Ovis aries: one gene and its partner. The protein of the gene in region 1 purifies or fractionates together with the protein of each later gene. This does not show direct contact. Links are inferred from orthologs where the notes say so. Each region holds a gene or a part of one and is shown in the gene's direction. Other genes may lie near its edges. The genes, in order: TAP1 and TAPBP.

Region 1 (3,872 bases):
CGCTCCCAAGTGCCGTCCTGTTCACTCGGGGCACCGCGTCCTCATCTCTGCGCACCTTCCCCAGCTCTCCCCCTTCATTGAAGCAGCCCCTGTCTCTAGTCCAGAGTGAAAGCGAAAGCGCTCTAAAGCAGCTTCCCCTCAACGCTTCCAGCTCGGAGCCCAAGCACCCCTTCCCCGCCGGCCCCCCGCGCCCAGTCCCTCGGCGGCCCCCCGAGCACCCCGCTTCTGTAGAGACGCCCGTGTTCCTTTTGGGATGCGCGCCCCGGCTGCTGCAAGCGGTCTCCTCCCTCTTGCGAGTCTCCGAGTTAACCCTGTGGCGCTTCCAGGGTCCGCCCGTCCCTCCGTCCCGCCACCGATGTTCCAGACTCATTACCCCGGTGTGGACTTCTCCTGCCCGGGGCAAGTCCCCGGTGGGGGCTCCGGTCCGCAGCATCCCGGCTCCGCGAGGCTCGCCGCTCCGGGCTCTGGTTTCCGACCTGGGACCGCGCGCCGCCCGCTGCCCGAGGCCCCGCCCCCGCGCCGCGCCCGCCAGGGGGCGCACGAGTCCGTGCCGCCGCGCGGGGCGGCCCGGCGCTAACTTGTGCGGGGCGGGTCTACCCGGAGACAGATGACGCAAGAGACCGGGGCCAGCGGATCTGCCCGGAGACGGATGACGCACGAGCCCCGCCTGCAGACCCGGGGCCAGAAAGTCCCGGGCAGCGCGGCTCCTGCAGGAGGCGGTGGCACGCGAGGCGGGGCTCGGGTGGCGATGGAGGAGGTCAGCCTCGGATCCGAGGTCCCTGCGCTCCTCCCAGGTGCCCTGGGCCGGCCGCCTCCGCAGGGGCCGGGCCTGGGAAGCCGGGCCGCTTTCGTTTTCTCTTTCCCCTAAACCGCCCGCTTCTGGGCAGCGCCGCGGGCTCGGCGGGCTCCCGGGACTTTCCGAGGCCCCGCCCCGGCCCCTCCCCGCGGCGGTCCGGGTTCCGGCCCGGGGCTCGGGCTCCCACAGCAGCCCGTCGCGGACAGCGAGAGCCGGGACCGCGCGCGCCCATGGCCTGCCCGGGGTCCCCAGCTCCCTGCGGCCGTCCGCGCCTCCCCCGCCTCGCCGTCGCGTGGCTGGGGACGGCGCTGCTGCTCCTCGCCGACTGGACGCTGCTCCGGCCGGCGCTGCCCCGAGTGGCCTCGCGGCTGGTGCCCCCTGCGCTGCCGCTGCTGCGGGTCTGGGTGGCGGGCTTGAGCCGCTGGGCGCTGCTGTGGCTGGGGGCCCGCGGCGTCGTCGGGGCCGCGCTGGGCTTCCGGAGGGAAGGCACGCGAGTCCTCGGGTGGCTGGCTGTTTTGGAGCCGCTGGCGGCGGCGCTGGGCTTGGCCCTGCCGGGACTCGCCTTGATCCGAGAGCTGGTCTCCTGGCGAGCCCCCGAGGACGCGGACAGCGCCGGGCCCCTGCACTGGGGAAGTCGCCTGGACGCCTTCGCTCTCAGCTACTGCGCGGCACTGCCCGCGGCCACCCTGTGGTATAAGATCAGGAGCCTCTGCGTGCAAGGAGCTCGCGGGGCTTTTGGCCTGGCGATGAGCCGGCTTTTAGTCTTCCTGGGTCCGGAGAAAAGCCACGTGCAGTTCATTTTGGCCCTGGTGTTTCTCTCCTGTCTTGGTAGGTAAGGTGGGGGCGGCGGGGGGCGTGCAACGGGAAGGGGGACGGGACTGGAGAACTGGGTAGGAATCGAGGGGCCTGATCAATGAGAGCAATTGGTGTGGGTTCTCGGAAACGTGGGTGAGGGGAAGGGGACCCAGCTCAGGTCTTGATCACCCCAGTGGAGTGGGAAGGTCCTGACTGGGCAATTGTCAGGGGTCCTGGACTCCAGGGCTGCCCTGCGTGTTGTTGCTTCACTGGCCGCCGTGGACAAGGGCTTTTCCCGGGCAGCCCATCCTACAACCGCTAGGCTTCCTCATTAAACCTCTAAAGGTCTTTGGGCCTCGTGTAGGTGGAGATGGTATCTCTCCACTGCTCTGCAGGAGAATGAATAAAGGCGAAAAGCCGGTGGGCCAGGGCCTGGTGAGAGCTCAGGAGAATGAATAAAGGTGAAAAGCCGGTGGGCCAGGGCCTGGTGAGAGCTCAGGAGAATGAATAAAGGTGAAAAGCCGGTGGGCCAGGGCCTGGTGAGAGCTCACCTGCTCAGACTTGCTATTTCTTCCCCTCCGCAGGGGAGATGGCCATTCCGTTCTACACTGGCCGGCTCACCGACTGGATTGTACAGGATGAGACAGCCGCTGCCTTCACCCGGAACGTAACCCTCATGTCGGTCCTCACCATAGCCAGGTCTGGGCACTGAAGGTGGAAGGCTGGGGGACAGGGGATTCGGAAAAAGTGGGAGTTGGAAGTTGGGGCTGCCGTCCAGGGTGAACTTCTGGGGGACCTCCTGACCACCCCGGGCCCCCTTCTCTTGTCTCCCCGTAGTGCAGTGCTGGAGTTCACAGCTGATGGAATCTACAACAGCACCATGGGCCGCATGCACAGCCACCTGCAGGGAGAGGTGTTTCAGGCTGTCCTGCGCCAGGAGACAGAGTTTTTTCAAAAGAACCAAGCAGGTTTCTCATGAAACTCTTTTCACTATCCATTCACTTACTGTTTATACACCCATAAAGTATTAAATTATTAATCTCTCAGTCATGTTCAACTCTTTGGGACCTCATGGACTGTGGCCCGCCAGGCTCTCTGTCCATGGAATTCTCTAGGCAAGAATACTGGAATGGATTCTCCAGGGGATCTTCCCAACCCAGAGATCGTACCCAGGTCTCCTGCATTGCAGGGAGATTCTTTACCATCCGAGCCACCAGGGAAGCCCATACCTCCTCTTTTACTTATAACCTTGATTTCTAGTCTCTCACACATAAACACTGTCATGTCTTATTCTCAACGTGCCTCAAGAGCAAAACATACTCCTTTTATTTAAGAAAAGCCTAGTGTTTCCATCCAAGCCTCACAGACTTATCCCTCTGTGTGTGTTTAGATAGAAATGACTGGAATTTAAACCTTGAAATTTTGAGATCACAGAGTCTAGCCACCTTGCTTTGCAGAGAAGGGAACTGAGGCCGTCCCCAAATGCTGGCGCTTGCCTAGATGCGGGCGGACAGAGATGAACTCAGAGTCAGAACCCCTCTCTTGATTCCCAGTCCAGCGCTTGCTACAGTTTCCTGGACTGCTGTTTAACAGCAACTTTGTTTCTCTCCAGCTGTTAGATGATCTGCTTGTTTCTCCTGCCCCTGTACCTGGGATATAAAAGTTCTTAGAGAACAGGAATCTGTCAGAGAAAATGAAATCCACAAGGGCATCTTTTTTTTTTTTTTTTTTTAAACTGGAAAGTCTTTAGCTAGTCTTCTCCTCTGGACACTTTCTCCTTGTGTTGAGGTTCCAAGTCTCCCTAACCACTGACCTTGTCTTCTCAGCCTTCTGAGAACCCTTCCCCTGGCACCCTGGCTCACCTGTCCCTCCCATCACTCTGAGATTCTCATTCACACCACCCTCTTCTCCCCAACCCTTCACAGGTGAAATCACATCTCGGGTGACAGATGACACGTCCACCATGAGTGAATCTCTGAGTTCGGATCTCAGCCTGTTGCTGTGGTACCTCATCCGGGGACTGTGTCTCCTGGGGCTCATGCTCTGGGCGTCCCCGTCCCTCACTGTGGTCACCCTGGTCGCCCTGCCCCTGCTCTTTCTTCTGCCTAAGAAGCTGGGGAATCGGCACAAGGTCTGTCTGGGGAGTTGCCTCAACCTGCGCTGACTCCTGTCGCCCAGACGTGGTGGGCTCGCTTCCTGTCAGGGTTCTTTCCTGGCGCCTGCACTGATTCTGCATCTCTGTGGGTCCAACTGTCCACATTCTTGGGTTGCTCAGTGTCAG
Region 2 (3,901 bases), about 300 kb from region 1:
TACCGGCGGGACCCCTGGAGGGACAGGCAGTGGGGATGGAAATAAGATCTTTTTGTGCCACTGCGGAAAAGCCTTCTCCCACAAGAGCATGCGAGATCGCCATGTGAACATGCACCTCAACCTGCGGCCCTTTGACTGCCCCGTGTGCAACAAAAAGTTCAAGATGAAGCACCACCTGACGGAGCACATGAAGACGCACACGGGTCTCAAGCCCTACGAGTGCAGTGTCTGCGCCAAGAAGTTCATGTGGCGAGACAGCTTCATGCGCCACCGGGGACACTGTGAGCGCCGGCACCACTTAGGCGGCGGGGGCGGGGCTGGACCGGGCCCCGGGGGCGGGCCCAGCGGAGCGGCCTTGCAGCCCAAGAGAGAGTCCCCCGGCGGCGGCGGCGGCGGGGGCAGCGGCGATGAGACGAGTGGGGCCACGCCCCCGTCCAGCCGATGCGTCTGGTCCCCGCTCAGTGTCCACAAGGTGGAAATGGGCTTCAGTGGGGGCGGCGGAGCAAACTGAAGGGGCGGCCCACCGGGGTAGCTTTCCGGGAAGAGAGATTAGGTATCACGAGTCTGGGGCACTGTGGACCCTAGGTGATCTCCCAACTCACTGTCTTCCTGTCTCTATGGACTTGTGTATATATATCCTGGAGGGGGAACCGCGTCGCCCCATGGGCTACCCCATTCCACTCCTCGGCCCCTCCTCCCCAAAGTATCCCTGTAACTCAGCCCTTGCTTCCCTGCAGATGGGTGCACAGAAGCCCCAGCTCCCGAGTAGGGCCCATGTGGGGTGGGGGTGGGGGTGGGGTGAGGGGGCCTGTTGAGCATCCAGGAGTCACTGGGTCAAGGGTCAGGTGGTTGTAGTCTGTACCTGAAGTCTGTGTTTGTGTAGTTGTGGGGACCAGGCCTTAGAGCCCCACCCTTTTCCTAGAATATAGCCTGCCCCGCAAAAGGATGTGCCCTTTATTTCTACCCTAATCTCTCCTCCCCCACTTTGGGGGTCCCCAAACTCAATTCTCACTGGGGAGAGAGGGGGATGGAGACAAGGAGGGACTAAGTTGTAGGAGTACAGGTTTTTATTTTAAATCTTATTTTTTCTAAACAGTGATTAAAATATTTATTGGTCATTTCATTTGGCTTCCCGACAACCCCGATGTGTCTGCTTGGGACCCGGCACAGGTGGGGGAAGGTGGAGTAATGGTTCTCAGGGAAGTGGATTCGGGGTTGTGGGGGACAGGCGGGGGCGCCTCGGGTGTGGGAAGGCTCGCGGACTCTGCGGCGCTGGGTAGTCCGGGAGGGCTGGGCGGGACTGAGGTCCCCAGACCGGAACTCCTCAACTGGGGAGGATGTTTCGGGAACCCTGCCCGGCGCCGGGGAGGGGGCAAGGCGGGGAGAGAACCTGCCTCCCACGAGCTTTCCCCCAGCCTGAGAGGGGATTTCCTCCGCCCCACCTGCTGGCCTTTGGAGGAAAGTGAAAGCGAAAGGAGGAAGAGGCGGTTTCAGAGCTGAGAAATCCGAGCGCCATGAAGCGCGTGTCCCTGCTCCTCGCTGTGGCTTTGGGTGAGCGACCCCCGTGACTCCTTGCACAGGGAACGGTGGGAGGTGAGCCCCGCCACGTCCGGGGATGGGGGAGGTCGGGTCACCTGAGGTTGGGGCCGTGCCTTCACTCGCGTCCCTCTTCCCAGGCTTGGCGACCGCTGTCTCGGCCAGACCCGCGGTGATTGAGTGCTGGTTCGTGGAGGATGCGGGCGGGGGCAAGTTGGCCAAGAAACCCGCTGCCCTGCTGCTGCGCCAGGGCGCGGAGAGCCCACCTCCTCGACCGGACCTCGCCCCGGAGCGCTACCTCAAAGTTCACGGTGAGTCATCCCTGACTCGCTCCCAACTCTGTTGCCTCCCCCGAAACCCCCCCAGCCCTTCGGGTCTCAGTGACCTCGGGCCTCAGTTTCCCCCAGCTGTAAAGTGAAACGCTCCGCCCTCTCAGTCTCTCACGACCGGCTAGTCTGCACCTTTGAAAGTCCCTGGACGCTGCCCTCCCCTCTTCTTTCCTGGCGGAGATTCTACGCCTGCAGCTCCTCTCTCTGCGTTCACAGACCCCGCGGGCACCCTTCAGGCCGCCTTCAGACAGTATCCCCGGGACGCCCCCGCTCCACGCTGCGAAATGAGCCTCTACGTCCCGCTCCCAGCCTCGGCCAAATGGCTCAGCGGCTTGACCCCGGAGCAGAGCTGCCCGCGGGCCCTGGACGGGACTTGGCTCATGGTCAGCATGTCTAGCCCGTTCCTCAGCCTCTCCAGCCTCCTTCGACCACAGTCGGAGCCTCAGCCTGAGCCTGCTCTCATCACCATGGCAACAGGTAGCTATAGAGGGGAATGGGAGATTATTGGGTAGATTGTAAGGGTCCAGATCAGCCGTTAACTCGCTCTGCGGACTTGAGCGAGTCACTTCCCCAGTCGAGTCTCCGTTCCTTTATTTGTAAATCAAGGCAGTTCAGTTAAAATGTCTTTACCGCTTCATCTAGTCCCAACCTAATCTAAAATAAAATGCGGTTTGGGGCGGGGTTTTGGAGAGAGGCGGGGGTTCCGGACACCTGACCTTAAGACTGGAGAAAGAAATGGCAACCCACTCCAGTATTCTTGCCTAGAGAATCCCTTGGACAGAGGAGCCTGGTGGGCTGCCGTCTATGGGGTCGCACAGAGTCGGACACGACTGAAGCGATTTAGCAGCAGCAGCAGACCTTAAGCAACTCGCTAGGCGAGGGGCTTGGGAGGGTCTCAGAAGCAGGAACTTTTGCTCCTTTCCTCCGAGATCTTGCTAGGCGCCCCCACCTTTGCTGTTCACCATGTTAAAAAAAAAAAACAAAAAACGGCCTTCACGCCCCACCCACTCCCACATCCGGCGCTGCAACAATCAGCAAAGCGCAGGCTCTTGTGCTCAATAGCGTTAACCTCACCTGACAGCCTCCTCTTAGGGCTCGTGATGATGCGTTGACTCTGTGGTCATTGAATGGTGGGCTTGAGTGCATGGAAGGGAAGCGGCGGGGGATCTGGTGGTTCTGGCTGCAAGGACGGACCACTTGCCGCATTGTGTAACCCGGTTCAAGGCCCAGGGCTTGGGCACTTTTCGGGTCTTGGGCGCAGGGAGTGGGTGGATAAAGCAAAAGTGGGGAAGATGCGACCTGGATTTGGCTTTCTTGGAGCTCTTCTCTGGAGGGTGATGGGAACAGAGTCCTTGGCAATTCTTAAACATTGTGTGATTTTATGGAAAGGATACAGCCTGACCTGCCAGTCAACCCTTACTGAGCCCTACAACCTGCCTTCCCCAGTACCTTCTCCCTGACATTCTCCTCACTGAGAGAATCACCCATGGGACTCAGCACCCACTCCGCAATCCTCACCTCTGCTTCCATCTCCATTCTTTGTCCCCAGACCTTGCCCAGGGCAGGAACAGAGGCAAACTGCTCCTTGTGGGGATGGCAGTTGTCTCTAGTGGGCAGGAATATTTCCAAGGCTGTTGGTTTCACGGGGTAGGGTAAGAATGTCCCTTTTTCTCTGAATCTGCTTTTCCAACTGTAAAATGTGGATGGTATTTCCCATCTGCCTTCCCGTTGTTGTGACAATCAAGGGAGACACTTTGTTAATTTATTCACTGGTTTAATAAATGTTTATTATCACCAAGAATAAATTGGGGCCCTGTAGTTCTCAGTTCGGTCTGCAAATAAGAATCCTTAAAAATTTCACTGCAGGTGAATTAAATCAGAATCTCTGGGGTGCCCTTGAACACTTTTAAGGGTCACAGAGGTGACCAGATGTAGAGTCTCCTCTCAGAAACGTTCTCATTAGATTTGTCATGGGATAATTGTAGAGTAGAAAGTGACTTGAGCCCTAAAAGAAGTGCGGAGAGGGAACCAAGGGC

The links.
Region 2: the proteins of TAP1 (region 1) and TAPBP purify together in Homo sapiens (co-immunoprecipitation; 6 studies listed by BioGRID and IntAct, with this or other methods). This does not show direct contact. The link is inferred for Ovis aries from reciprocal best matches to the Homo sapiens genes TAP1 and TAPBP.

The regions. Positions count from the first base shown.
Region 1 is NC_056073.1:7,335,309-7,339,180, reverse strand, and holds the start of TAP1 (antigen peptide transporter 1), read left to right. Parts: upstream 1-981; 5' UTR 982-1,026; coding exon 1,027-1,624; intron 1,625-2,175; coding exon 2,176-2,290; intron 2,291-2,428; coding exon 2,429-2,559; intron 2,560-3,516; coding exon 3,517-3,722; intron 3,723-3,872. Other genes in the region: PSMB9 (proteasome subunit beta type-9), read right to left, coding at 374-433. UniProt on the Homo sapiens protein: ABC transporter associated with antigen processing. In complex with TAP2 mediates unidirectional translocation of peptide antigens from cytosol to endoplasmic reticulum (ER) for loading onto MHC class I (MHCI) molecules.
Region 2 is NC_056073.1:7,633,946-7,637,846, reverse strand, and holds the start of TAPBP (tapasin precursor), read left to right. Parts: upstream 1-1,475; 5' UTR 1,476-1,514; coding exon 1,515-1,551; intron 1,552-1,676; coding exon 1,677-1,847; intron 1,848-2,081; coding exon 2,082-2,342; intron 2,343-3,901. Other genes in the region: ZBTB22 (zinc finger and BTB domain-containing protein 22), read left to right, coding at 1-511. UniProt on the Homo sapiens protein: Involved in the association of MHC class I with transporter associated with antigen processing (TAP) and in the assembly of MHC class I with peptide (peptide loading).